Pelodiscus sinensis: one gene and its partners. The protein of the gene in region 3 interacts with the protein of the main gene of each other region in a pairwise test. Links are inferred from orthologs where the notes say so. Each region holds a gene or a part of one and is shown on either strand. Other genes may lie near its edges.

Region 1 (6,901 bases), on a different chromosome or scaffold from region 3:
CTAGCTAGGCCTCAGCTGGAGTACTGTGTCCAGTTCTGGGCGCCACATTTCAAGAAAGATGTGGAGAAATTGGAAAGGGTACAGAGAAGAGCGACAAGAATGATTAAAGGTTTAGAGAACATGACCTATGAAGCCAGGCTTCATGAACTGGGCTTGTTTAGTTTGGAAAAAAGAAGATTAAGGGGGGACATGATAGCGGTTTTCAAATATCTAAAGGGGTGTCACAAGGAGGAAGGAGAAAATTTGTTCCTCTTGGTTTCTGAGGACAGGACAAGGAGTAATGGGCTTAAAGTGCAGCAGGGGAGGTTTAGATTGGATATTAGGAAAAAATTCCTAACTGTCAGGGCGGTCAAATATTGGAATAAATTGCCAAGGGAGGTGGTGGAATCTCCCTCTCTGGAGATATTTAAGAACAGGTTAGATAGACATCTGTCAGGGATGGTGTAGACGGAGCTTGGTCCTGCCTTGAGGGCGGGGGGCTGGACTCGATGACCTCTTGAGGTCCCTTCCAGTCCTATTATTCTATGATTCTATGATTAATGAAAAGATTATAAAAATTCATTTATCCTAAAATATAAATACATATGTATCTGTTGCAACTGGTATGTCAAAGATGTAAATGAGATTGAAATCTAAATCTTGTACTCATATATAGCTTTGTAATCTTCCAGCAGACACAGATATGAAATAATTGTAAATGTATAAACAGAATTTAATGTTTATGGCCAAAAGAGTAAAAGGCAACAAACAAAAGTAAAATATAGAAGACCAGCAAAGCTATGGTAAGCTGTTGAGTCATGAACATCAGATAATGAAGTATATAAGCCAAATTAATTTCATATTAAGATCTATGTAATTAGGAGCAGAATTTAGTCCTAAAAATTTAAGTTGCAGCACACCGATCTTCTCAATTATTTCAATCACAAACACAGATCTCTATAAAAGTGATGCTTGCTTTCTTGAAGCTTGTTCCTTTAATAAAGAAAGCCTTAACTTGATTGAAATAGAACTGAGCAGTGTTCACATTTATATTGAATTGCCATTTCCAGTTCCTCCTTCCAGCTCTCAAGGTATGAAGTAGAAGAAAAACATTTCAGACTGCGAGAACTACAACTTCAAAATAATGCTTGCCCAGTTTCTTCTAAATCTAGAACCTCAGACTCTATTTTCAGGAGATGTTGCCTGCAGTTAAGAGTATGTAGGTCTTCTTTGGTATACAGTATAGCAATGTGTGGATAAAATGAAGCTGATTATGTAAAAGTGCACTGTCGTCTCCCTGCACTCAGTATTCCCATGTGGATTAGTATTATCAGTCTTCAAATTAATTTCAAGGGCTTCTCTTCAGGTTGTATTTGTTGTGAGGAAACAGGTTCTCTCCATATTTAGGCTCAAAATATCCAGAGAAAAGACATTTAATGGATTGTAACAGCACAACTTTTTTTTCCAACATCCCACTGCTGAGACTGGTAGCAAGATTACTAACTGAAGTAATCAGTAACTATGATTGTACTCAGGCACCATATCAGAGAAAGCCTGGACTAGACTAGGAAAGTCAGCCCAGGTTACACAGGCTGGCAAATCCATCAATAAGTTAACTTTTTGGTGACTATTGATGTGGATTCCAGTCCTGCAACTGGATCCACCCCAGCAGATTCTTGGACCAGGGTGAAGGCCATATTGAACAAAAATCAAGGCCCCATGGGGAGGGGCAGGCACACCTATAGGGATCCATTTGAAGATTGGAGTCTAAGACAGTATTCAAATCTGTGACTAAGAAAAAATGCATTGTGGGTGAAATCCCGGACAGATTGAAATCAATGGGAATTTTGCTATTCACTTCAATGGGGCCAGCATTTCATCACCTCTGACCTGTAATCTCTAATCACGATAGTGATTCTGCAAACTCTTTCAATGCCAGCGAGGTTAAATATCCATGCTAGAGTTTGAGGGGCCCTCAAGACAAAAAACCACACACACACTCCGTACAGTTTTACTACCTCGGACTTCTGAATCTGATCTAAATTTGTGAGGATCAAGATCTTCTCGATATAAAACAAACTCACTCCATAATACAGGCCAAGTGTTCTTTCCCCCACCCCTCCGAAAATAAAACGGCTGCCAAGAGGCAGCTATGACAACCACTGAGTGGCAATCAGAACAGTGTTATTTCAGCACAGTTGTATGTTGGTCATGATCCCCCTTCTGGGGAAGCTTTGAGGCAGGAAAACAAGGATTAGGCAAGATGGAGGCATGGGGAAGGGCTCCCACTGAGCCTCCTCCCCCCATCCCCACCTACATCCCCCCCAGCCTGTTGCTATACCCGTATCCCCGGCGCATAAAGTTCAATGCTCCAGGTCTCCGGGCCGGGTCCTCCTTTGGGGAACAGAGGCCCGCTCTGGCTCTCCGGGCTCCCGGAGCAGAACCTCCTGATGCCGCCGCCACAAGCCGCTCCAGGGGCGGCTGCTGCACCTCTCCCACCTACAAAATGGCAGGTTAGCAGCGGGGACGGTGGCAGGGCTGCGGTGCCGCCTGCTCCGGCACGCCCCGCACCTCAGCCTGCAGCCCCGGGTCTGCATGCACCACACCGGCCGTGCGGCGCGGGGCACTGCACGCTCCTAGCCCGGCGCGGCGCCCTGGGCTCGGCGCAACAAGTGCTGGGCGCGGGGACGCAAGGCGGGAGAAGGAAGGGGAGCGAGCGGGGGATCCCAGCCAGCCCACCCCGAGCAGCCCCCAGCCCTGCCACTCACGATCTCCAGGCAGATGAAGGCGCCCGAGTAGGTGCGCAGGATGTCCAAGCCCGCGGGCAGCGTGACCCGGGGCGCGGGGAAGTAGGCGGTGGGGTTGGGGGGCGGCGGCATGGAGCCCCCCCTGGCCGACATGCTGGCGCGGAGTGAGCCGAGCCCGGCTGGCCCTGACGTGGCCGCAGGTTGGGGGCGGGGGAAGGGGCGGCTCAGCGGCGCCCAGAGCAGGTGCAGGAAGCGTGTGGGCAACACCCAGCCGCCGGCCCGGCCCCTGCGCCGCCCCGCCCCGCAAGCGCCGGGCGGCGACGGCCCCGGTTCCGTGGGCTGCAGCCGAGCAAACCCCCTTCTCGTGGCCACTGGGTGGACCCAGTGTGACCCACACACCTGCTGAGTTCGGGTCACTGCCCCATGTAGCGACCCTTAGGCCACAGCGCTAGAGGGAGAGGATGAGTTTCCTGTTGCCTTCGCTGAGAGCCGCCTGGCTTTTGGCTCCAGCTGTAGTCCCAGCTTTGGTTCTAGCTCAGAGCCAAACATTTGCCCACCACCCCCTTGGCGTGTTCCCGAATCCCAGCCCAGGGCTAGTCCCCCACAGTCCCTGGTATTCATGAGACTGGCCCTGAATTGGGAGTCTCTTGGGGCTGTGGTACTGTGGGGAACTCGCCCGGGGTTGGGATTTGGGAACACCCTGGATTGGGGAATTGAAGGAGACAGTCTGTGTAGGGAATCATGCCAGAGGGTTTCCTCTAATCGTTTCCATCCGTGTGTGGAATAAATGTTTGTTGTGTGCCACCAGGAGAAACACAAACCTAGCTGTAAAGTCAGCTGAGCAGCATTGGCATCTCCCCTGAGCATTTGTGCAGGTGCACAGCTTACAGGGAACACTAGTCTGCACCTAGACCCTATCTGCAAACCATACTCCTACCCACTTCCCACCTCTGGAGCACTCCAAATCCACCTTTACTTTTCAATCTCTCAGTGGGTGTTCAGATACAGAGCACATACAGAGAATGTGTGTCCCATTGGTATGATGCAGGTTTGTTATCTTTCTGCAGAAGAAGCAGATAAGGAGGCTGATTAGGCCTCTCTGATTTGCACTTCTCCCAGTTTATACTGTATATCTGTGTAGGATCCTGACTAGTCCTTTCTCCCTGGGGGCTTTTGATCCCTCATTTTCAAAGGAACCAAATAGTTTTGTTCCTGGTGTGGATATGGTTGTTCAACCAAAATGTGATGCCTCACAAATGTCAGATTTTTAAAAAGCAAGACCTTGATTCTTCAGATCCAGATGCTGGCTTTCATCTGCTTTGTAGCTTCTTTCTAGCTTTTCATGCTCTGGTAGTTTTTTTTCTCTTGGCAAGGCTATTTAGTACAGGGGGTGTGGCTTTAATATGTGCAGCAAGACTGACATCAGGATTCATAAACCTAATTGTTCTTATTTTTCTTTTTTAACCTGCTGCTAGTTAATGATAAACTAGCACTCAATACATTCCAGCTCAGATGCATGATTATATTCCCATGGAGGTGTTAATAGTGTTAATGTTGTAATGAATATTTTAGGGTTGAAATAAAAACCTAGTTTTATAAACCTATGGCTTATGGTGGTGTCAAAAAATAGCGACTCTAGCTTCCAGTTTGAAGGATGTTCTTTCTTTAATAAATGTCAGAATGCTTTGAATGACTAATGGTATTGCCAAATCCCAGCATTCAAAGCTCATGGGTCAGGCTGCCAAAATCATGAGATTTAAAAATAATTTGGGATTCTTTTTATTTACCTTCTAGTTACAGAGACTTTAGGATTCAGGGATTCAAGCCTTATCTCTGCAACTGCAAATGCTTAGAAGTCTACTTTTTAAAAAGTCATCAAACCAAAACTGAGACTGTAGTGCAATCCCATGACTCTTCGAGTTGAAGTTTTTAAGAAAAACATCAAGTATCACAAGATTTATGAAGAAACAATGAGGTGTCAACATTAAAGGCAGAGACTTTCTTTAGATTTCTTTACTTTATAACATGCAGTGTGTTTCCCATACAAAGTACAATAAAATTGTATACATACTTTAGTAACATCCAAGTTTAGAAAAGTATAGCAGGACAAAAAAATGTCACTTGAGTTCCAATAGATGAAAATGTTGCTAATGAGAGATCAGACTTGTAGCCTGAAATACATCTGGAAACATCTGCAGTTATCACACCATTTATAATAAACTTTATTTTCCCATTTCATTTTATTGAAACAATTTCACTTTTCACATATAAACAATTTTTTTTCTTGTTGTCCACATTCAGGCAGATTTCCTTCCTACCCTGACTCAATGCCACTCCAGAAGCAGCTGGCACATTCCCATGGCCCCTGGGGATGGAGTTGCTATGTGTTGCTTCCACCCCATCTCTGCAGCTCCTATTGGCTGGACAGCTTGGTCAATAGGAGCTGCACCCAACCCCCTGTCCCAGCCTACAGACTATACTCTGCACTCAAACTCCCTCCCAGAGCCCATACTCCCTCCCTCTGCCCCAGCCTGATGAAAGTGAATGAGGGTGGGGAAAAGAAAGTGATGGAGGGAAGGGGGGATAGAGTGAGCCGGGGGAAGGGATTCAGACAATGAGTAAGACAGGAATGTGGCATCAGGAGAAGGGCAAGGGTGGGGCAAGGGTCTTTGAAGTTGCACAATTGCACAGTGTGCAACCCTACCATGTGGGCAGGTGGAAGAGCTGATCATGCTGAAAGAGTGCACCCAGCAGTGTAGCTAGCAGCTCGTTGGTCACCAGTCAATGCAGGTGCGGCACCAGCTTGTGCAGGCACAGCAGTGCCCAGGTGTCAGGCAGTCCATGTTTGTGCAGGCATAGTTTGTGTAAGTGTGGGGCCCATTGACTGTTCTGCCCTGGGGCCTGGAATTGCTGTCAGCAGGCCTGCCTGTGCATTCCAATGTGGGAAGTTCATTGTTCCATAGGACAGGGAATGGAGAGAGAATAGAGCTAGTGGTCATCAATTGCTCTCTTGATGCTTTCTCAGGCCATATCTCCACACTACAAAATTTTGTTGATATATTGCTACCACAGATATGAAATTGCATTTGTGTGTGCCCATCTGGTCCATTGTGTTGGTTGTGCATGTCCTCACTAGAAGGACTTGTATCAATTGTAGTGAAGATGTAGGGAAGATGGTGTTACTAAACTGGCATAGAGAGTCACTTATGTTGACAAGAGGCAAATTTAAGTGATGACATTTCCACATGGACCAGACTGTGTAGTGTAGACCAAGCATCAGGATCATCTTTCAATGAGGCGTCAAGCATCTTTCCTAAACAGGCACTGTCTAAAGTGCAATATGAGAAGATGCCATGGGCCAGTTTAGATGTGTTCATTAAGCAACACAAAATGGAGTCTACACTCTGATACCAAATATCCCACTCTGTCATAATGCAACTCAGAACTCCCATTGAATTTGGGCAGAGGTGACAGCTAATACAGCATACCAGCGAGAAGTGGCTGCCAGTACCAGTCCATACACAGCTAGCATTAAAGTGCTGTAGCTGCAGCCAACAATGAGGGCAAGGACAAGGGCTGGTGAGTGCAGGAGTCAAGGTAGGGATAAGGGGCTTATGGCAGGTGTAGGTGTGCAGGAGTCAGGGTAGGGGATGGTGTGTGTGTGTGAGAGAGCCTCAGGATGAGGTTGGGGATGTGTTTGGGAGTTCAGGGCTGGGAGTGCAGCCACTGTATTGCGTGACTGCTGGATCCCTGGGGCACTGGGGGCCCTGTTGCCCGAGCACTGTGGCTAGCTGGGGACCATGCAGCCCAAGCCCTGGAGCTCATGCCTGTGTGTGCTGTGGCCAACAGTCTCTTACTGGTGTGCTGCACTGGCTTACTTTCACCTCTGCCATCACGGCAGGTTTATGGAAATAAATGTTGTGTGGTCTGGAAGGATCTAGGAGTCTAGCATATTTTGGAACTAATCTCTGTTTAAGTTACTGGACAGTTTGCCCCAGGAACACTATATAGGGTGTGTCTACACTGCACCGTAACTCGAAATAAGATATTTCGATGCTATTTTGGAATAGCTTATTTTGTCATTTGGCATCATCTACACAGAGCCAAATTTCAAAATAAAACACTATTCTGAAACATCACTAACTTGAGGCTTACAGGGATGTCGGAATAGTGAG
Region 2 (7,003 bases), on a different chromosome or scaffold from region 3:
AGGCCAGAAAGGACTGTGACTGAGAGGAGAGTGCTGTCTAGTGATTAGAGCACCCCCAGCCATGTCACATTAGTTCTTGTGACCTGACATTTGGAGTGCCTGCGAGCTGGGAATTTGGATTCCTAGCATGAGCATCAGGGTTGATAAAAATCAACGATTTAAAAAAAAAATTCAGATAAAAAAAGAGATCAGTAAAATACTCCATTTCCCATTTAAAAACAGTTACAATTAAATCCCATCACAGAAATGCTACCCGGATGCTTAAAAAGTCTCTTAAAAATGAATGAATGGACCTAGCCTGTCCAGCCTAACCACCAGCTCCTGCTTCTTGAAAGTTCTGGGCTTTCCATTTCGGTTTCTCAGCAGACGACAAAGCGACATGTGCAAAGTCAGACGCATCCTGAACGGGCTTGTTTTTTGTGGCCACGCACAGCAGAGGAGTTAGTTAAGAGAGTCGCTTATAAAGACAGAATCGCAATATATAGAAAAGGACGGAGGCAGCCTAGAAGAGAACAGTGAACTGAAAAGAAAGAGAGAAGATGTTATTCAGAGCACACACACACTCACGCACAGCTTTCTATACCCTCCACACTGGTGCCACAGAAAAACCGTCCTGGTTTCTGGGCACAAGAGAGATTCTCTCTGGGAATAGTTTGAAGAAATTCATTCCCTGGGTAAAAAAGGAAAACGTGACGGATAAGCAGTCCATGCAGGATGATAATGCAGGGCCTACTTGCAAGAATGAAACAAAGAAAACTGCTTGCTGGGAAGAAAGCGATGTGGATCTGACTGAGTGGATCAACGGGTTAGTAACTTAAATAATTCACTTTGCAATGCATCGTTCATAGAATCCTAGGGCTGGAAGAGACCTCAGGTGGTCGAGTCCAGCCCCCTGCCCAAAGCAGGACCAATCCAATTGTTCTTCAAGAATCTCTCTCCCCCTTTTAAAGCGATTTGACTAGTAAATTCCCAAGCTGTTTGCTGTGTTGAGTGTTGCTAGAAAAAAAAAAGTTTAGCTTAGCTAATCCTTATGGCTTGTTGAATTAGTTAACTAGGTTTAGAATCTATCACCCAAGTATACAGCACAGAAAGCTGCAGTAAGAGAAATTTAGAGTTGCCTATTGACACGGAGTGTCATTTTTTGTTTTATATTACATAATATACTATTGTATGGTATATATAATACTGTATTCTACTGTATAATATCCCTTCTTTTGCAACCTCATGGCCACAGTCCATAATGGTGATGTCATAAATCTATTCTTTATTTTACTTCAGCATAACTCCGTTTTTTAAAGGGAACCCCATTCTATATTGTTCTTGTTTTTTTGAGAAAACAAGAAATGAAAGTTTGTTCAGTGGGGCCTCTTCCAAAATTAAGTGCCCTCTAAGCACAGTCTAGCTTAGCTTTGACGGTAACTGGCGATTATTTTTTTTGGGGGGGGGGGGTGATTTAAACTGTGATTAAAATCAAATTATTTAAATCGCCTCTATTTAAATCAATCCACCCTGATCAGCTGCAGTAAATGTTTAAAAACGGCCTGACAGAAGAGGGGAACGGGAGTCAGGGTGCCAGTTTCTGGTCCTGGTTCTGCCACAGGTTTCCTGCCAGTGGGCATATTATTCACTACTAGATCGCTCTGCACTTCCATTCCACCAGGCAGAGATACTGGTCGATCCCGGAGAGGCCTGGGGCAAATCCTGAACTTTCTACCGAGTTGCTAGCATCCGTCAGAAAAGCACAAAACGTGTAGGTGGAAGCACCGAGGCAGCTCAGCCCAAACAGCTACATTAGCAATGTTGTGCTGTTACCAGGTGCACACACAGGGTCTGTAAGCGCTGCTGGCCTGGATCAGACCCAAGGACCATCCATCCAGGACTAGTTGCTTCAGAGGAAGGAGCAAGAAACCCCACAGGAGGCAGAAGTGAGAGACAACCTCCCCCCATTCCCTAACAAAGTTTGGATTGAACTCTAAGCAGGACACACACTGACAACGTCCATGATCCCCTTAAATACTTGTCTGAAAAGGGGTCACCATCCTCCAGCCAAGCATCTGCCCCCTGTGCTCCAGGGCACATATCCCCACACCCAGAAGCAGTAAGGTGCGGCAGAACAGGCCACACCTGGGCAGAGACCAGGAGAAGTGGGGGGGAGGGGGCGTTCAGCCCAAGGCAAGAGACTTTTCCTTTTTGAGGGTTCCACCATCCAGGGCTTCCCCTGAAACAAACTCAGCCAAGCCGAGGTCTTTTATGGGACAGATCTGGAGGCACCTGCTGGGAAAGGTCACCTCAAAGTACTGCTCCCCAGGGTTTGGGGGAAGGGGCTGCAAGGGAGGGGTGCATTAGGAAGGGAATCCCAGCGGGAAGGGGGTTGAAATGGGGGGGGGTCAAGGAGGGGTGCATTAGGAAGGGAATCCCAGCGGGAAGGGGGTTGAAATGGGGGGGGGGTCAAGGAGGGGTGCATTAGGAAGGGAATCCCAGAGGGAAGGGGGTTGAAATGAGGCAGGGGGGAGGGGTCAAGGAGGGGAACATTAGGAAGGGAATCCCAGAGGGAAGGGGGTTGAAATGGGGGGGGTCAAGGAGGGGTGCATTAGGAAGGGAATCCCAGCAGAAGGGGGTTGAAATGGGGGGGTCAAGGAGGGGTGCATTAGGAAGGGAATCCCAGGGGAAGGGGGGCCCTTGGAGAAAGGGAAGGGGGTGTTGTGAGCAAGGGGGGTAGCTGTGCTGAGTCCCCTCGGAAAGAGGGGAGCCCCCCGGGACTAGGGGACTCAGGGAAAAGGGGGGGGGCTGCCGGATAAAGTGCCCTCCCCGGGGAAGGAAGCAGCCCGGCTCTGCAGGAAGGGGGTGTCCTTGGGGCCGCCCCAGGGCTCCCACCTGTGGCTAGGTAGTAGCGCTGGACGCCGGTCTGGGTTTCCAGCCAGCCCAGCAGGTCGGCGAGCAGGCCGGGCTGGTGCAGGAAGGTCTGGAAGCGCTGCCGCAGGGAGCCCATGGCTGCACGCTCCGGCTCCGGCCGCCGGCTGCTGCTGCTCGCTCTCGGCTTAGCGGCCGGTCCGCCCCCCGCGCCGGGCCAATGCGGGAGCGGGGCGCGGCCAGGTGGGAGCCGGGCGGGCACGTCACAGGGGACAGGTGAGGGCAGGCGTGGTCAGAGCAGGGGAGGGGCAGCGGGGGCAAGGGGCAGGCGGGGGGGGGGATCAGAGGCAAAGGGAGAGGGAGAGGGAGAGGGAGGGGGAGGGGCAGGAGGGGGGGGAAGAGCGGAGTTGAGCAAAGCAAAGGGAGGGGGCAGGGGCAGGAGGGGGAGGAGATGGGGCAGGAGGGGGGAAGGGAAGAGCGGAGCAAAGCAAAGGGAGGGGCAGGGGCAAGAGGGGGGAGATGGTTTGGGGGCAGAAGAAAAGAAGGGGAAGGGGGAATCAGAGGCAAAGGGAGGGGCAGGGGCAAGAGGGGGGAGGAGAGGGGGCAGAGGAGAGGGCCCCGAGCTGGCGGGAACGAAGGCAAACAAGCAGAGGGAAGAGCCGAACAAAGGGGCTGGGGTGCACACACTGATTTACACTGTAAGCTCCTAGGGGCAGGGACTGGCTTTTAGTTGTGCATTTATACAGCACCTTGCACAGCGGGGCCTGAGCAATAACTGGAGAGCCCCAGGTGCTACCTGGATTCAATTAAATAATACACATTTACACAATGGCTGCTGCAAAAGGAAAAGCTCCAGCCAGGCACGCACCAGCCCAGGGCAGGAGGAAACACTCACACGCGCCTGGAGCTTTAAAAAAAAAACTACAACTCCCAGAAGGCCGTCTAGCCAAGGAACACCCCTCCCTACTCGCAAAGCCCCCTGGGAGTTGTAGTTTGTTGGTGAGCCGACGGGGTCGTTCCCCGGCTCCTGCGGCTTGCGGTTGCTATGGCGACCCCGGGGTGTGAACACGTGGCGCGGGGCAGCCCCAGCAGCCCTGCCCGTGCCCGGGAAAGAGGCAAAATCGAGGCCCCGGCTTCAGGCGGAGCGCTAGGCCGCAGATCCCGGGCGGGGGGGTATTTAAGGGCCCCTTTTAGGGGGCAGCCCCACGTTTGCTCCCCCCCCCCGGTCGGAGCCATGGCGGGGGCGGCGGCCTGGCTCCGGCTCTCGCTGCTGCTGGCCGGTGCCTCCTGCTGCCGGGGCGGGCTCACCGTCTACCTGAGCAGCTGGGCGGTGCAGGTGCCCGCGGGGGCCCGGGAGGCCGAGCGCCTGGCCCGCAAGCACGGGCTGCTCTGCCTGGGGCAGGTGAGGGCGGGGGGGCTACTTGCCCGGGGCGGGGGGTAGTTGGGAGGAGTGTGGGGGGGCAGTCTGCAAGTCCCCCCCCCCAGCCCCAGCAGCTGGAGAGGGAGCAGCCCTTTTCTCCCCACTATTCCAGGCTCCTGTGTCCCCCCCCAGCACCCCCTTTCCTAGAGAGGCTGCCCCCCAAATCTCCCCCCCCCCGCCTTCCCCCTGAATTCCTCTTCCACAGGCCCTCCCCAAGAAATGGGGGGGGGGTGGAAGAGAAAGAAGGGTGTTTATAAGAGCGGGGGCTTGCAGAGGGATGCACCCCCGTCCCCCGAAAAACACCCCGATGAGGGATGCACCCCCGTCCCCCGAAAAACACCCCGACGTTTGTTCCCCTGATGGAAAATCTGCTGGAGAGAGCCAGGGAGCTGCCTGATGAAAGGCTGCCCTGCTGCAGACGTCTGAGCTCTCTGGCTGGCCATTCCAGTTGACTATACCAGCCGTGAAATTACAGTGCAGGCCACAGGACTAAGTAGGAGGCTTCCAGCCACCCCTGCATTGGTGCCATTTGATGTGGCAATCTTTTCCTCCTGCCTAGCTTGTCTCTTCTGTATCCATTTTCCTTCCCTCCCTCTCCGTTTTCTCTCTCACGTCTGTATCTGAGGCGCTTTTATCCGGATCTATTTTTATTTTAGATGAGGGCATACTAGCATCATTACCAATTCCCCCTCATGCGGTAGCTCCAGCTAAAAGCATACAGCTTTGACAACCGAGGCAAATGCATCTTTAAAGAGAAGCTCTAGACAGCAAGGTTGTTTAAAATACCACGGACGTTGAGCGTGTTCTCTGCCACCGGGGGATTTGCAGTGAGTGGCAATTGAAGAGGGAAAACAAGTTTGATTGGCTCCATAATTAAGTTTTGGTTTAAAAAAAGAGGTGCTTTTACCAAAAAAATCCAAGACTAATGAAAACATGTCCCTGAAACTTTTAATCATGTAATAATAACGGAATTCTTGCTTTTTCAAACACTGCAGTCCATGGCCGTCTTCACTGGTCCCTGGTCTCTCTGGATGCATTCTCTGCACCTTTTTATTTAGATTTAAGTGTTTTAGTCCCTAGATTGAGATTTGGGGCCCTGTTGTGCTAGGTGCTGTACAAACATCTAGTAAATGACAGCTACTGTCCTGAAAAGCATGCAGTTACATGAGCTAACACGAAGCCAGCTGCCAGTGGACAGGTACCTGAAAGAAAGCTTTATCTCTTGTTAGTTCTAAATGTCCCACAGCCACCATCCTCTGGCCACGGGCTGTCAACCAAGAGATCCAATTCACCTTCTCTGTCTGTATAACCCATTTTAGGCTTTGAAAACCAGCAGTTTGGTTACAAATGGCCTCCCCTCCCCACCTTGTCGTTCAACCTTCGGTTGTACCAAAACAAGCTCCACCTTGATTTGCCGACACTTTAGCCATCCTCCACGGAGCTTTTTTTGATCACACAATGGCTTGCCCTCTTCATAAAACCCTAGGCAGGAGGCATGCTGGTGCTAGATGTCCCACCAATTCAATGTCACCTTATTCTGACTTCTTTCCAAATCCCATTCTCCTCTTTTGCCCCTTCTTTTTGATTCCTCTCAAGTCACTCTCTGAATTCACTCTAGGATTTCTAACTGTCCTTTATACAGTACTAGGTGTTCTACATTGCGCTATTTCAGAAGACCCTGCGATCACTCCCTTCTTTCCATTCGCCTTGAGTCTGGATAGTTGAACATCGGTTTGCCCCCTTCCTTGTTTTGTTTTTGTTTTTTTTCTCCACAGTATGACTGTGACCAGGTAATATTTCAGTCACCCACCTAACCATTATCCATGTAATGCTTTGCTAAGTAACAACCATTTGCTGTTACTATTGTGTAGGCCTGTCTTCAGGGTAACTTAGTTGCATGGATAATCTAGTTTTGAGCTGAAACTTGCCACAAAACCTTTTAATCTCTTAAACAGAGAATCTGGGCTTGTAATCTGACGTTACAAGGATTGCCCCTTTATCAGCTCTACCTCTGTACCTTTTCCTAGCTTTCTGCTGCAGCAGCCAAATGGCCTCATCAAATATTTAAAAGGCTGTGCAGATCCTTGTCTTGCTTTGTTCGCTTTAAAAGACAGCTTTTGCTAATTAGTTGTGAAACCAGCTCCCTACGGATGGTGTTTTCAGGGCCGGGAGCCTGTCCTTTGGGGAGAACAAAATTCCATTCTACACTCACCGTGGTTTCACGTAGTGCCCTGTGATTGAGTAAAATGGAAAATGGATGGACCCACCCCAGTGAGCTAGCGGTTGGCAGCTTGATCTCCATTAGCTCTCAATTACTCTGAAACAAATTCTAAAATCATACAGGCAAAGGTAGAAATGAAATTGCTAATGCAATGGGCCAGATAAAAAAATAAAGCCATGGTCCTTAACTCAATTAAGGGTGGTTTTTTTTTGTTAAAATACAAAGAAAATGCACATGTTTTATTTAAATGATTGTACTTTTAAAAATACAGTGTTTTATGGAGTTAATTCAGATTTCTTAAAAAAGGGATTAACATTTTTCCATTTAATTTTTAGTATATTTTTTTAAATGAGAATTGCATCAAGTGTATATTTTTTTCTTCACCCTGTAAATTCTTTATCCTTCACTATATTTTGACAAAAATGGACTAAGGTCCATTTGGTTTCCAGTAATGTTTTCTTCTAGTTTTCAAACCTTAAGCTCTGATTTAGCTGTGCCAAAACAGAGCACTC
Region 3 (7,692 bases):
TCCCTAGCTGTAAAATGGTGATCATAATTCACACTTCACAGGGGTGTTTGGAGGATTGATTTATTAAAGACACGTTGAAAATATAAAGCAAAGAATATCTTTCTTAAAAAAAAAAAATCCAGGCCCCCTTTTCTGACTGTTTAAAACCTAGCAGTCACGTTTTACCCTGATCTCACACAGAAGCCAGCTGTTAAGGGTGACTTGATATTGTAATGACCAGTGGTTCTGCAATGAATGCCTATGCAGACCCAGGGACTTGACTTCAGTGGGACTCAGCACAGGAGTCTGCTTGTCCGGAGCTCACCTCGCTTTATTTGCACTGAAACCAGAACCTGGTGGAGCCATGGATGTTTTACAGCTCCAAATCAAGCAGAATCAGCCTGTCTATAACAGACGCTGCAGTTGCCTTCCCCAAAATCAGCAGATACTTTTCTTGGCCAGACCGAGGACTACTCTGGACTGCTCAGAGGACACCAGTCTAAGCCTGGGCAGAAAGGGAGGCGTTGCTGTGAGTCCATGAGGGTAGCAGAGACGAGTGGGGACAAGGACAGGAGAGAAGGGAAGGGGAGAGAGCCAGGCCCTGCAGGAAGCAGCTGCGGGCACAGAAGAGTTAATGCTACAGACTATAAAAGAGTTCTCATCTTTAAAGAGCACAGGGGCATGGGAAAATCAGGGCTGGCTTGAATCAGCAGCCTGAGCCATACACACCAGCTTTCCGCTCCATAACCAGGATGAGGTTAACACTCCCCCAACCCCTGATAAAATTCACAGCAGTCCCTATATTTATAAGTATGCAACATCCTCCTGCAGTGACGCAACCCAGTGACAAGAAGATGTGAACGTCACAGGGAGGAATGGGGCGTGGGAAGCAACAAATCTTAAAATCCAGCCTTGGCGAGAGCGAAATGAAGAGGGCAAAACAGGAAAAGAGGGTGGCTGCAGTTTAAAATGGGGGAGGGGATAATCCCGGTTATCTCCTCCTACTTCCACTGCACATTTTGTGGGGGGATAGCAGGGCACATGTCAGGAGTGTCCAGTAAGGTGCACAGCACTCACGGCAAGGTGGACAGCCCCATTTCCTGGATGGGGAAACTGAGGCCCAAAGGCAAAGCCACTCCCTCCCAAGGTCACACACGGAAGCAGGTCCAGGAAGAGATACCAGCGGTCCCCTGAGCACAAGCTGCTCTCCGAGATCTCTCGGGAGCTGATGGGGACAGGAGGCAGAGCCTGCTGATGAGCAGCAGGCCCAGGAGCAGCTAGGGTCACGCAGACTGGGGGGCGGGGGGGACTGTTTTCGCCCGCCCGCCTCGCTCCCTAGATCATTTCGGGAAGGAACACGGGGGACTTCACTGCACAATCTTCAGTGTCACGTCACCGCCCCACTCGGAAAAATAAAAAGGGCCGCGATGACTGGGGGGGGGGGGCAAAGGGGCGCAGATGTGAGACCTCAGGAACACCCCAGGCCTGCCCCCCCGCCGGGCTCGAGACTGAGGCCCCCACATGTGGTTGGGGGTTGAAACCTCCTATGGCAGCTCCTGCCGGGGAGGAAGGGGGGCTAGCCCCCCATGTCCCTTGCACGCTCCGTGCTCCGCGGGGCGTCCCGCCTGTTTCTGCCTCAGGCCCCGGGGCGGCGGCTGACACCGGAACAAGGGAGGTGATTCCCCCCAGCTGTTCGTTCGGGGCGGGGCTGCGCCCCCTGCGGGGAGCCCGATGGGGCGGGCGCGCGGGGGGGGTCCCTATGGGGCCCAGCCGGAGACTAGGCCGCAGCGCCCCCAGCCCATCTCCTGCCCGCTCCGCATCGAGGTGACCCCCCATTTCTCCGGGATAATGGCCCAGCGCCGCGGCGGCCCCCCCGGAAAGGAGAAGAGGCCAGGCTCTAGGGGGTCCCCCAATGGCCCTTCCCAATCGGAGGGGCCGGGAGCGCCCCCAGTTCAAGGCGGGGGGCAGAATAAGGGGGAAGATCACGAAAATGGGGGGCAGGGGGCCCCGATCCAGCCCTTCCTCCCAAAGCCCCCTCTGCACTGAGCCCCCGGAGGAAGCACCGGGGGTGGGTGGCAGTGTGAGGCGCCCCCCTTCCTGCCTGGGCCCCAGTTCAGACCGGCCAGCCCCTCGGTGGGGCGCCCGGGGGAGGGGGGCCCGGCGTTACCTGCTCCTCCTCCGGGCTCAGCTCTGCGGCCATCCTGCTGCCGCAGCTCCTCCCGCCTGCACACTGCTCCGGAGGCGGCTGCTTCGCTTCTGCGGAGTTTTTAAACCGGGGCTTCCAACCATCGACCAGCCTGAGTCAGCCCCGCAAGCCGGCCCCTGCCCCGCTCCTCCTGCCCACACCCCGCCGGGGCAGCGGCCTCCCGCGCCGCCCGGGGCCCCGCACACGCCCCGCTCAACTGGGGACGCGGCTTCCGAGCGCCCGGCGAGCGCCCATTAGCCGCCCTCGCAGCCGAGCGACACGCTTGGAGGGGGCAAGGCGGCCGAGCGATCCCTGCCCCCGCAGGCCGGGTGTGACTTGGAAGTTCAGTTTTGTCCCCTCTGAACCGGCCCCGATTCTTCTGGCTCCTTCGCAAACTCCGGGCTCCCTCCGGTCCCCCTCGCGGCTTTCTGCAGGCTACAGAAAATCGCACGCCCAAGAAGGGGGGGAAACACCCCGCTGTCCTGGAAGTTTCATCCCCCCCAGATCGGCTCGCAATCTCTCCCGGCTATGGCTTCAGCCGCCTCCGTTTTTCTTCTCTGCCTTTGCAAGATCCCCCTGCCCTTGCTTCCTGCACAGAGTTCGCCTGAGACCATCAAATCCCTGGCTTCAGCTGTATTTTCCTTTTAGAGAATGAAACTCCTTCCTGCAGCCTCCATCTCTCGCCTGTCTGCCTCGCAGCCCTTATTCCTCAAAAGCAGCGGAGAGGAAGGAAGGAAAGACACCCCGCCCCCCCTCCTCTCATGGCCAATGCTGCTTCCCCTGCTGAGCCAGCCAGAGCCCCCAGCAACTCCATTCAGAAACTGAATCTCATTCACAACAGCAGAGGACAGCCAGGGAGAGGGCTCTCACCCAGGGAGGGAGAGAGTTCTGCATAAGCCGAGGGGGGGGGGGGGGGGGGGAGGCTGAAAGAGGCATTCGTCCAAAGGAAGGAGAGAGAAACAGGAAACTATCCAGGGCAAGGGAGACAGAGGCAGGGCAGCAAACAAGGGAAAGAAAGAGGAATCTAGACAAGGGAGGGACAGCCACATCCAACAGAAAATATTGAGTCATCCCGGTTTAAGAGAATATTAGAGTCATCCTGCTGTTCTGTACCTGCAAACAGGCCCTTAGATCCCGAATTCCCGTAATTCAGTGGAGGCGTGAATCCTTTCCACACCTCCAAGTCTACCCAGAACATTATGGCTAGATAAAAACCTAGCATGGTTGCCCCCCACCTTTGTTCTTGTATGTGTTGTCACGTGCCTGGCGCACTGTGGGCACAGCTGTTTGCAAGAGCTAGCCCATGCATTCTAAGGCCACGAACACAGTCAGGGCCCTTGCAGGTCAATGGCAGCAAGATCTTCCTGAGGGGATCCAGTGGCAGGACTGGGACCCTGATAACAAGCAAAGATGGGCAGGAGGGGACTGTAACAGGATGCTTCAGTGATGAGCGCACGATAAGAATTTATAGTGAAGAGAACAAAAGACAAGTGTGCCTGGGGGGTACATTTGGCACCTCTTACCATTACAGACGCTTTCTTCAAGTAACCCCGGGGAGCAGAGGCGACTGGCGTAGGGCTGACAGGTCTCCTTGCCCTTCTCTGCCCAAGTCTTTTTTAATAAAGATATTCCCACTCTTGTTACTCCTGTGCAACTCTGTCTCAGCATTAGCCACTGCCGACAGACAGGATACTGGGCTACAAGGACCTTTGGTCTGACCCTGTATGGCCGTTCTTATGCGGGTTAAACAACAGTCCAGTAGCCACTGGTATTTTAAGTACCTTTTTGACTAAGCCAGAGCAAGTCTATGTGACAGGGTGGTTAAAATGGTAGCAGCTGCTGGAACCTTATCTACACTAGAGCACCCACCTTTCCTGCCACCCCAGGAGCTGAACAGATGTGTAAAAGTGCCTTTTGAGGAGGAGAGAATGGAAGGTCATGTCGTGAGAAACTAAAGAACTGCTGATCAGGAAAAATTCATGCAGGGCCCAAAGAGCTGGCTCATTTGATCTCAACTTCAGATCCCTGCTTTGTGGCTGTTTCCTGTAATCCGATCTAGATTTAACTAAAGTTTTAAAAGTAAAACTCCCTTTCTGTTTTCCTCATGTCCAAATTCTCCTCCAAAACGTACTGTCTTCTTTTTTCGAATGCCTTGCTGTGCACTCCAATACATTCCCATAGAGATAGGATTAGGGCAGATGACAGCAGTTCAAGATTTGACATGGCCCAGAGTCTGAGATCTGTGTCACATCCCTGCGAGATCACCCCGCCCCAGAGAGCTTCCACTATATTCAACTGCTATCAACTCCCACTCTGGTGTCTGGTCATTATGGAGACAATACTAATAGATAAACTATCTTATCCTTAAAAAGTATTGTGCTTATAAGAGCTTAGCTTTAGTTCTTTCCCATTGTTTACATTTATCTCTTCCCCTTTTCTATCACCCATGGTCCATTATCTTTACTTACTTTGTAAACTCTTTGGAGGCAGGGACCATCTTTTTGTTCTGTTTGTACAGCACCTAGCACAATGGAGTCTAATCCATGACTAAGGCTCCTGTGAGCTCTGACTGTACCAGTAAATAACACCTGCCTTGGGTGTTCAACTTCACAGAGCAGGGGCCTTGTCTTCTAAGTGTACAGTGCCTTGCCTACCGGTAGCCCTTAATTCATACTGTATACTACACTGATCTCTCCGGCACTAGAGATGCACCTGGCCAATTCCCTGACAGACCAGGATCCATAAAAGCTGTGGTCAGAGTTCAAACCATCCCCCTCACTGGAGCATGTTCTGATGGGAAGTGGTCACTGTTGTTATATATGAAATAAAAAGAAAAATTTACCTATTTGATTTCTATTTGATGGAGAGAAGCAAAGATCCACCTGGCTGGTTCACTTACACTGTGCTGCCGCACGGCTATGCACAAACAATATTCATCTCTAGAACGAGAGCGAGATGATGGATTCCCTTGGAGCGGAACCAGATCAGTAGTGAACTAGCTCAGCAACTGCAATTTTTTCCGTACCATTTCACCACGTCAGCCAGACAAGTTTCAGGTGCCATTTCCAGGGAAAGGATGGGTGCTCACCACCACTCCCCCGTATCCATGAACTAGTTCTACTTCCACCTCTACCAGTGGCATTTCAAAGTCTGGGTGGGCGGTTCCACTGACACAGCTGAACAGCAGCTGCTGCTAGTGGGGAGTGGAGCAACCTGGTGCTCCAGGGTTTTTAAAAAATGCTCCCAGGGCTTTGATCCAGAGCTCTTCAGGCCACAGGTGCTGCACACTGCCTCTGGGAGCATGTTTGGTTACTGCAGCAGGGCCTGCTGGTTCAGAAAGCTGGATCCCAACCAGTCTCAGTGGCGGGGGGAGGAGGGGAACATTTTGTTCTGCTGACAAGGGCTGCCCTGGCAACTTGCCTGCAACTGGAGAGTTTGTATTTAACTTGCAAGAAAATGGAGCAGAGTGCAGCTATCTCTATCTTTTCCATGGAGGCTGAAAATCCAGCTGGCTTATGGGGCTTTGAGGTGGGCTGTGAGCATAGGCCATATCTCCACACTAAAGGTGACCACACCTCTAGAAACCACCGGCCACGTTTGAGCTACTTTGTTCTATTGGGGGTTAGCAGTGAGTCCTTACAAGCTATCCCTATGCCCCCACCTATATGCTTGTACTGCCTCAGCAGGCTCCTGGCAGAGATTTACATGTCACTTGTGCATACAAGGAGCTGCAGGAGGGTGGTGTGCGCCCCAGGATCAGCATCGCCCCTAAAACTCTGAGCTATGGAACCAGAATGCTTTGCAGCCAGCCACTTTTGCTTAACAATTTCTCTCCCACCCCTTTCATTTTCTGCTCAGATTTATTCCTGGAGTCTGCTAATATTTTAAAGCAGAATCATGCAGCTGTATCTGCAAGAGATCCTTTACAATATAGAATGAAAGCTTCAGTTTCCCCCTGCTAGTAGAGGAAAAAGCCCCTTTCTTCCTACTGTATTTGACTCCCCTCTTTGCTGGACAGCCTTGGAAAGCTCTGTGAAGGAAGTATACAGACAGAAACCAGAGCGGCAGCTTTCCCTGAAGCAAGAGGCCAAGGATGCTTAGGCTTAGATTTGGATTCCTGGAGGATTAATTAAATTAGTGCTTTATTGCATCTGAAAAGTGCCCTGATTAGGGGCCCAGGCTTCCAAGGGGAATCCTGCATCAATTTCCTCCAAGCAGTTTAATTTTGACTTCAAAATCTGAGATTTGCAGAGCGCTACAGCAATATTTGTCATTTTACAAGATGAACCTGTCACTGGTTTAGGTCTTACAACACTTACTCCCTAACATACCATCTCCATCCCTCACTGAGCATAACTGTCAATATAACATAATAAAGAGTTCAAACCTGTGGGGAAGTGGGATATGGGGAAGAAACACGGAGGAAGGAGCAACAAAGGAGGACCCCTGATTCAAATGGAGAAGGTAGGGCAATCAACTGGTTATCTAAGGTGTATCTAAGGGTATCTACATGAATAGGAAACAGACAGAAAGAATTAGAAGCCCTGGCCCAGTCAAAGAACTGTGATTTGACTGGAATAATGGAGACTTGGTGGGATGACTCACATGACTGGAGCACCGCCATGGAAGGGTATAAACTGTTCAGGAAGAACAGGCGGGGGAGAAAAGGAGGAGGGGTTGCACTGTATGTAAGAGAGCAGTATGATTGCTCAGAGCTCCAGTAGATAGAGGAAGAAAAGCCTGAGAGTCTATGGGTTAAGTTTAGAGACAGAAGCAACAGGGGTGATGTTGTGGTAGGTGTCTGCTATATTCCACCGGATCAGGTGGATGAGGTAGACAAGGCTTTCTTCAGACAACTGAGAGAAGCTTCCAGATCACAGGCCCTGGTTCTCCTGGGGGACTTTAATCACCCTGACATCTGTTGGGAGACCAATACAGCAAGACACAGACAATCCAGGAAGTTTTGGGAGAATGCTGGGGATAACTTCCTGGTACAAGTGCTGAAGAAACTGACCAGGGGCCATGCGCAGCTTGACCTGCTGCTCACAAACAGGGAGGAACTAGTAGGGGAAGTAGATGTGGGTTGCAATCTGGGCAGCAGTGATCATGAGATGGTCTATTTCAGGATCCTGACCAAAGGAAGAAAGGAGAACAACAAAATATACACCCTGGATTTTAGAAGAGCAGAATTTGACTCCCTCAGAGAACTGATGGGCAGGATCCCCTGGGATGCTAACATGAAGGGGAAAGGAGTCCAGGAGAACTGGCTTATTAAAGGCACAGGAAGAAACCATCCGGATGCTCAATAAGAAAAGCAAATAAGGTAGGAGACCAGATTGGCTTACCAGGGAAATGCTTGGCGAGCTTAAACACAAAAAGGAAGCTTATAAAAAATGGAAACTTGGACAAGATGACTAGGGAGGAATATAAACATATTGCTCAAGAATGCAGGGGAGTTATCAGGAAGGCGAAAGCAATTGGAATTGCAGTTAGCGCTAGCAAGGGACGTGAAGGGTAACAAGAAAAGT
Region 4 (7,443 bases), on a different chromosome or scaffold from region 3:
CCTCTGTCGAAAAAGGCGTGCAGTCTAGACATAGCCCTAATGACAACCAATAACGCCAGATAAAGAAACAGATCTCAAGATGGGTAAAGAAAACTTAGTTTGATAGCATCTCATGTATCAAGAAACTCTTTAGGTGGGATTATGGAATCCTCATTGTATGATTATGATCCTCACTTTTCTATTGTTTGTTTGTATGATCTCTGTCTCTGGTTTTATACATATATATATTATCATGAGCTTTCATGGGCAAACACACTTCTTCAGATGAGATCTCATCTGAAGAAGTAGACTTTGCCCATGAAAGCTCATGGTACTATATATCATTTTTTAGTCTCTAAGGTGCTACAGGACTATTCATTGTTTTTAAAGTTACAGACCAACACAGCTAACTCTCTGTGGTTTTTAATTGTTTCAGTCTGCTGTGTAATTAATTTTGCTAGGTATATATCAATTGAAGTGGTGGGGTATGGTTAGTTAGGTAATTCTGTTACAGTATGTTAGGACTGATTAGTAACATTTTAGTAAAATAATTGATGACAGTCTAGCTAAGCAGGACTCAAGTTTCACTATATAAACTGGGGCCCAAAAGAGAATTTTTTGGAAGCCAAATCCAGGACACAGCTCCAAAATCAGAGCTGCCAGACCCTGTGCCAATAACACTGTGCAGAAATTGGAGTCCCCGAGCTGGACCTGAACCTGACTGGCTATCAAGACAAGTTCATCTGACTTACTGGGAGCGGTGAGCACTGTATGCTAGCATGTGCATGCTGGCTTTGATAGTGATTAATACAGAGAGATTAAGTAGGATATTACCGTGTAAAGCTCATTCCCTGATAAAAGACCCCACAAACCCACAGAGTGTAAGGTTACACCTGAGCCCACAGAAGGAAGAGGGTGGGTGCCTATTGAAAAGGTTATACCTGAGCCCTATAAATGGGTGAGGGTGGGTGCTCCTAGAGCAGGGGAGGGGAAACTTTTTGGGGTGGGTGCCACTGACCCACAGAAAAATCAGTCGGGAGCCACACACAAAATACCCTCATTGATGTGGCACCCAACTGAGAGAAAGATATTCTCCCACATGCCCCTTGCATACCACAGCCTCTGGGGGTCCAGCCTAGTAGATTTTGGATGCTCCATCCCCATGGGGGGTAGCAGGGGGCTGGAGTGCCAGCACAGGCTCCCTGCAGGAGGGCACCCTAAGCCTCAGGGGCCAGATTCAAGCAAGCTGGGGGCCACATCCGGCCCCCAGGCCTAAGATTACCCATCCCTGTCCTAGAATGTGTGAACAACAGAGAATTTTGTATGGGTAACATCCTGAGATGAGAATAAGTCACTATATTTGATAAAACCAACAGCCAATAAACATCTTGTACCTCCAGCGCATCAGGGAGAGCTGTATCAGTCACACTGCACCATGTGAATACAGCTCTCTGGAGTGCACAGTGAGGATCATGCACAGCCTGTAGCAGAGGGGGAATTTTGACCCCTGGGCAAAGGCCTGACCAACAGCAAGAGTCATGGAACCTTTACCGAGCCATTGTCAAAATAAAAACCACCCTCCAATCTGATGTGTTTTCATCTGTTGGGGTTATCCTGACAGTAAGTCTATTGTAAACTGCACTGTAAACCCCAGCTGTGTGGACTTGGTATTTCCAAGCTAGGGCTTGAGTATCCACACTACACTGGGCCCATGGGCTTACAGCTGGGGGTCTCAGCCATGCTAGCTGAGGATACAACCCTACTGGAAGACAAAGACCTTCAGGTTTGAGTCTGCAGCTCCAGCTGCCTCTTATGTTAAAAAAATACAGAGTTTGGATCCCAGTTAAAGGGCGACCCGGGCTCACCCACTGCCCTAGAACAGAACAGGCAGGGCCATCCTTAGGGTTTATGGGCCCTCTACCCCAGGGCAGGAGGGGTGAGCGATTGTTTACAGCACCCCCACTGTACAAATACTTCTCACCTCCAGCGACACACCAATGAAATATTCTTAAAGCGCCTTTTCAACGACGGTTCTGTCGACTAAGAGAAAAGTCCATTCCGAGGGGGACAGTGTGGACCTCGGTTTGGAGAATGCCTGTTCCCCGGCTTCACTCCCACGTGCCGCTCACGGCTCCGGCAGGCTCTCCCGCTTTGAAGCGCCGCAGGACCCCTCCCGAGGAAGCAGAGCCCGGCCAGGGGGCGGCGGCTGGGTGGACGTGAAAGACCCAGCGCTGCCCCAAAGGGCCCGGGGGCGTGTTCTGCGCCCCGGTGTGCGGGCGCGGGGGGCTGCGGGGAGGCGCGGGGGAGACCGGGTGCCGCGAGTCCGGGGTGGCCAAACTGCAGCTGGTCAGCCACATGCGGCTCTTGAACAATTAAGGGCGGTTCTGTGCCCCCCCATTCTTCTCCCACCAGCCGGGGGGCGGCTCTAGGGCCCCCCCATTCTTCTCCCACCAGCCGGGGGGCGGCTCTAGGGCCCCCCCATTCTTCTCCCACCAGCCGGGGGGCGGTTCTGCCCCCCCCATTCTTCTCCCACCAGCCGGGGGGCGGTTCTGCCCCCCCATTCTTCTCCCACCAGCCGGGGGGGCGGCTCTAGGGCCCCCCCATTCTTCTCCCACCAGCCGGGGGGCGGTTCTGGGCCCCCCCCATTCTTCTCCCACCAGCCGGGGGGGCGGTTCTGCCCCCCCCCCCATTCTTCTCCCACCAGCCGGGGGTTCGAGACCTCTGCCTTGCAGCGGGCCGGTGCCCGAGGGGCTGCCCAGCGGGCAGGGCGGTCTTGAAGCTGCAGCCCCGCGGGACCCACCTGCCAGGGCTCGGCCCCCCCCCCATTAGCCCTGCGCCCCTCCGCCCGCTGCCTGGCCGCCCTCTGCGGGTCGCTCAGCCCCGGCCCGCCGCCCCGGTACCTTGAGGTTCACAGCGGGCACCTCCATGCTCGCGGGGCGCCCCCGCCTGTCCCGGCCGCTTCCCAACTTTCCACCGCCCCGCCCTGCCCCCGTGACTGTGCGGGAAGCGCCTCACGTGGGGCCGGGCGGGGGCGGGACGCGGCCGCCGGCGCCGGGCTGGCTCTGCCCCCCGCGTCCCTCCTCGGGGGCTCCCCCAAGCCAGGGCTGCACAGAGACGCCCACCCAGCCCGAGAGCGGCCAGCCCAGCGCTGAAGAGGGAGAAAGACACAGACACCCCCAGAGAGGGGAGCGGGGAATTGACCCAAGAAGCTGGATAGCCCCCCCCCCGAAGCGGCATTGAGGGGGGGCGGCAGCAGGGCGCTGGAGATGGGGTGCTACTGCCCCCCTTCAAGTAGTTCCCAGGATAGTCCCCATTGTAGGGTGTACAGTTTGATTCCATGACTCTCAGCACTGCCCCTGTACAAATTGTTCCCACTCCCCTGTGAACTCAGTAAGAGGGTGTGTAGCCCCTGGTGAGGGAGCAGGCCATCATGCCCTAGCTGGCGACCTGCCACACCACCTCAGATGCTGGTCAGTATTCCACAGGGGCGGTTGGTATCCAGGCAGGTAGGGTGTGCAACCCGACTGCGTTTTCTGCACTGCCCCTTCTTCCTCTGGCTGCTAGTGCTCCCAGTTCTCACCCCCTTGGCTGCAAATCAGCCGTGACCGTGAAAGATTTTTGCAGGTGCAAATGTTATTGTTTAAAAGCAAGCATGCAAAAATGTCTTCCCTGAGGCCAGGCCTCTTTGGAAGCTGCTAAAGGGTCAGGGTGTTTTTAATGTCACTGCACATCCCTCCATTGCTGCCTCAGTTCTTACAGCCCCACAGGAAAGGGTGATAAATCCTTTTGACCTCCAGAAATACCACTTCTCATCAGTGACTAGCCTGCCCTGGGAGTTGAGGACATTGATTCTTGCACTGTCACTGCTTTAAAAAGTCCCAAAGTGTTCCAGCCACGCCCCAAATTAGTTTCAGCAGTGTGCTATGGGGCTGTGGCCAAGTACTGTGGGGTAGCATCACTCCTCCCAGGGAACTGTGGAAGTCTGGGAAGAAATTTCCAGAAATCTCTCCCATTTCATAATCTGCTCCTTCACACTGTTTTCCCTTCTCGCTACCAGAAACCTGAATCCTGCGCTGATCAATGCAGCTGTTTTGTCCATTTCAAGGTCTACCATAGCAGCCGGACATTCAGCAGGGAGACAGAGGATGAAGCTGAGCACCTGTTGCAGGCTTTCACTGAGTGATGGCACCTAGAGAGATGGTTTGGGTCCAAACAGTGATGAGGCTGGAGTGTGATACAAATCTGAGAGCACCAAAAGTGGCTGTGGGACATTCAGCTGCAGAAGGCCACATGCCTGGAACTGTGTGCGGAGCTCACCCCAACCCTACAGAGACTAAGAACCGCATGGACAGTAGAGAAACAGGTGCCGCCAATCACTATCTGCAGGTTGCAATGCTGGATTGCTCTCAGTTGGTGAACAGCCAGTTTGGTGCTGGAAAATCTGTGGTGGAGGCAGTGGCCACCCAGGTGTTCAAAGCCATTAAGAGTGTCCTGCTGTGGGGGCTTGTCAGGCCAGGCAGCCTCCAAGAAATACTAGATGGATTTGATTTGATGGACTTCCCAAGGCTGCACGTGGCATTTCAAAGCAGCAATGCCGTGTGGAGCCCGGGGTCAGCTGCTTGAGTCCCCTGCTGGCCCCTAGGGCTGTTGCTACACTTCAAAGGTGGAGACACCCTTATCGACTAAACAAATAGTCGATGCAACTTGCATCAACAATTCGATTAGCCAGTTAATCTAAATTTAACATCCCTACCCCTTGTTTTGCTGCTGAGTGCATAAACAGAAAGGGGTACTTCATCATGCAAGCATCACGGTAGGTGATTTACTGACATTTAATGTTGGCTGGTCAGGGAACGTCCTGGATGCTCCCATCTTTAGGAATTCAAGACTTTTTGAAAACCTGAAAGCAGGGACTCTTTTCCCCGACTGTCCTGTTGACATTAATGACATTGCAATGCCAGCTGTGATTCTTGGCGACACAACCTATTCTTTGCTTCCCTGACACTTTACTCCAATCATTGGCAACCTGGAGAAAAGCAAGGAAAGATTTAACCATCCCCTGAGCCAGTGCAGGATGGCTGTGGAGTGTCCTTTGAAGGGCAGATGTCTCATGTCAAGGCTAAATCACCATGAGGGAAATATTCCTGCTCCAAAGCGCCCTTTGACAGTGTGCATTTCCCAGGCAGTGTGTTACTTTGTGTTAGTGTACATAGTGTAAAGGCAAAGAGGAGTCTTGTGGCACCTGAGGCCACATCTCCACTTGCCACGCTGGAAATGGATCTTCTGGCATTTGATTTAGCAGGTCTAGTAAGGACCCACCAAATCGAACATTGAGGGCACCCCCGGATTGGTGCTGGTACTCCTTGATTTGTGAGGAATAAGGGATGCTGATGGGAGCATTTGTTCCTGTCAGCCTCCCACTGTGGAGACACAGTGCCAAATTTGGATTGAGGTGTCAGCTCCAGCTACATTATTTACATACCTGGAGTTATGTACCTTAAGTTGACCTTCTAGGTCTAGTATAGAACTAGCCTTTGAGACTAAGAGATGTATTAGGGTATAAGCTTTCGTGGGTAAAACCCACTTCATCAGATGAATTGGAGTGGAGTTTACAGAGGCATGTATATATATATAAGGACAATCAATTGTTTTTAGGGAGAGGGGTGTTTTTCCCTTCTGTCTCATAAGACAGGGAAAATACAGCTGGCTTTTCACAAACTAGAACTTTTCTTAAACTTCATGGCTACGTCTACACTGGCACCCTTTTCCGGAAATGCTTAAAACAGAACAGTTTTCCGTTATAAGTATTTCCGGAAAAAGAGCATCTACATTGGCAGGATGCTTTTCCGGAAAAGCCCTTTTTCCGGAAAAGCGTCCGTGGCCAATGTAGATGCGCTTTTCCGGAAAAAAGCCCCGACCGTCATTTTCGCGATCGGGGCTTTTTTGCGGAAAAGACTACTGGGCTGTCTACACTGGCCCTTTTCTGGAACAGTTTTCCGGAAAAAGGACTTTTGCCCGAGCGGGAGCAGCATAGTTTTTCCAGAAAAGCAGCTGATTTCTTACAGTAGATCGTCAGTGCTTTTCCGGAAATTCAGGGGGCCAGTGTAGACAGCTTGCAGCTTATTCCGGAAAAGCGGCTGCTTTTCCGGAATAAGTGGCCCAGTGTAGACACAGCCCATTTGTAAAGAACTAGTGTACGAGCTGGCTGCACACAGCTGCATCAGAGCAGGCAGGAGGTGCATTCAGAGCAGTTGTTATTATTGTCCTATCACATGGAAGGCCAGGGACACTGCTGCTGGGCGGTTGGGAGCCTCAAGGATGAAGCCTACGGCCCTAGCCAGAAGGAGTCATTCTCCATGTTGCCAAATGGCTGCTGAAGTGCCAGGCTTTAGCGTTTGCTCTTTAATGTGCTCTAGCAACTGGCTTTGTGGTTTAAGTCCTTCTGAATGAGGTCGTACCGCTCTTGATCCTGTTGGTCTTTTTGCCTCTCTCTCTGCTTACATTCCCCCCAGGACTGAGTCTCTCTGTCTTCAGTCTGGACTAGTTCAGAGAACGTATCTTCTCTTGTCCTTTTCCTTTGTTTCCTTATCATGCTGAGTCACTCAGCAGGAACCCCGCAAGGTCAGAGACAAGCACGCAGACAGAGAGTCACTGTTAGGGGGAAAAAGGGAATCCCAGACAGCAGAAGATAGATGGGAAAACCAAGGGAGCTGCAGCTGTTAAAGGTGTATAAAGATATGCAATGAGTAGTCCTTTAGCATCTTAGAGACTAGCAAATATATAGACATGGTAACACGAGCTTTTGTGAGCAAAACCCACTTCTTCAGATGAGCAGAGCTCATATCTTTTTGTTAGCCTCTAAGGTGCTACAGGATGACTCGTTTTTTAAAGTTACAAACTAACACGGCCACCTCTCTGAGACTTTTAAAGATACGCAGTCGCACAATCACCTTTGCTTCACACATACACAGGGAAAGAGATGGAGAGCTTGTATTCTCCCTTTAACGGTACCTTCATTATTCTTTCTTGTCTCTCTCACAGTTGAGAGAAGGAAACTGTGGTTGCAGGCCTAGCTCAGGGCTTGTAGTTGTAAGTGTAGTAGTGTACTGTGGAGAAATGAAATGATTGAACAGCTATGACTTCCTCAGTCTCACTTAGTCACTTTCCTACCATACAACTTCCTCCTGCTTCCTGCAGCTATAGATTCTCCAGGGCTGACCAGACAGTCTTGTGCCAGTAGGCTTAGTTTCACTTTTGTGGCAGATATAAAATGGCTCAGTTCCCACTCTGTATTTTGGTTCAAGTGACTTGCCCAAGGAAGCTCAACTTGGCTGCGGGGGGATCCAAGAAGCCGGAAGGGGAGGAAGGCTGGGGCAGGATGGGGCTGGCAGCCAGGGGAGGAGGCAGAAATGACCTCCCCTGGTCTGGCAGAATCCCTTCTCCAGGAACAGTCAGGTCCCGAGG

What was found.
Region 1: the proteins of PTPN9 (region 3) and MAL2 interact in binary tests that used the Homo sapiens proteins (3 or more experiments, as listed by UniProt). The two-hybrid records come from large-scale screens. The link is inferred for Pelodiscus sinensis from reciprocal best matches to the Homo sapiens genes PTPN9 and MAL2.
Region 2: the proteins of PTPN9 (region 3) and REEP6 interact in binary tests that used the Homo sapiens proteins (3 or more experiments, as listed by UniProt). The two-hybrid records come from large-scale screens. The link is inferred for Pelodiscus sinensis from reciprocal best matches to the Homo sapiens genes PTPN9 and REEP6.
Region 4: the proteins of PTPN9 (region 3) and AGTRAP interact in binary tests that used the Homo sapiens proteins (3 or more experiments, as listed by UniProt). The two-hybrid records come from large-scale screens. The link is inferred for Pelodiscus sinensis from reciprocal best matches to the Homo sapiens genes PTPN9 and AGTRAP.

Annotation. Positions count from the first base shown.
Region 1 is NC_134712.1:22,505,287-22,512,187, forward strand, and holds the start of MAL2 (protein MAL2), read right to left. Parts: upstream 3,016-6,901; 5' UTR 2,880-3,015; coding exon 2,748-2,879; intron 1-2,747. UniProt on the Homo sapiens protein: Member of the machinery of polarized transport. Required for the indirect transcytotic route at the step of the egress of the transcytosing cargo from perinuclear endosomes in order for it to travel to the apical surface via a raft-dependent pathway.
Region 2 is NC_134729.1:17,444,772-17,451,774, forward strand, and holds the start of REEP6 (receptor expression-enhancing protein 6), read right to left. Parts: upstream 3,009-7,003; 5' UTR 2,990-3,008; coding exon 2,875-2,989; intron 1-2,874. Other genes in the region: PCSK4 (proprotein convertase subtilisin/kexin type 4), read left to right, coding at 3,896-4,252. UniProt on the Homo sapiens protein: Required for correct function and survival of retinal photoreceptors. Required for retinal development.
Region 3 is NC_134724.1:34,422,020-34,429,711, reverse strand, and holds the start of PTPN9 (tyrosine-protein phosphatase non-receptor type 9), read right to left. Parts: upstream 3,001-7,692; 5' UTR 2,180-3,000; coding exon 2,147-2,179; intron 1-2,146. UniProt on the Homo sapiens protein: Protein-tyrosine phosphatase that could participate in the transfer of hydrophobic ligands or in functions of the Golgi apparatus.
Region 4 is NC_134733.1:8,001,246-8,008,688, reverse strand, and holds the start of AGTRAP (type-1 angiotensin II receptor-associated protein), read right to left. Parts: upstream 3,002-7,443; 5' UTR 2,907-3,001; coding exon 2,880-2,906; intron 1-2,879. UniProt on the Homo sapiens protein: Appears to be a negative regulator of type-1 angiotensin II receptor-mediated signaling by regulating receptor internalization as well as mechanism of receptor desensitization such as phosphorylation.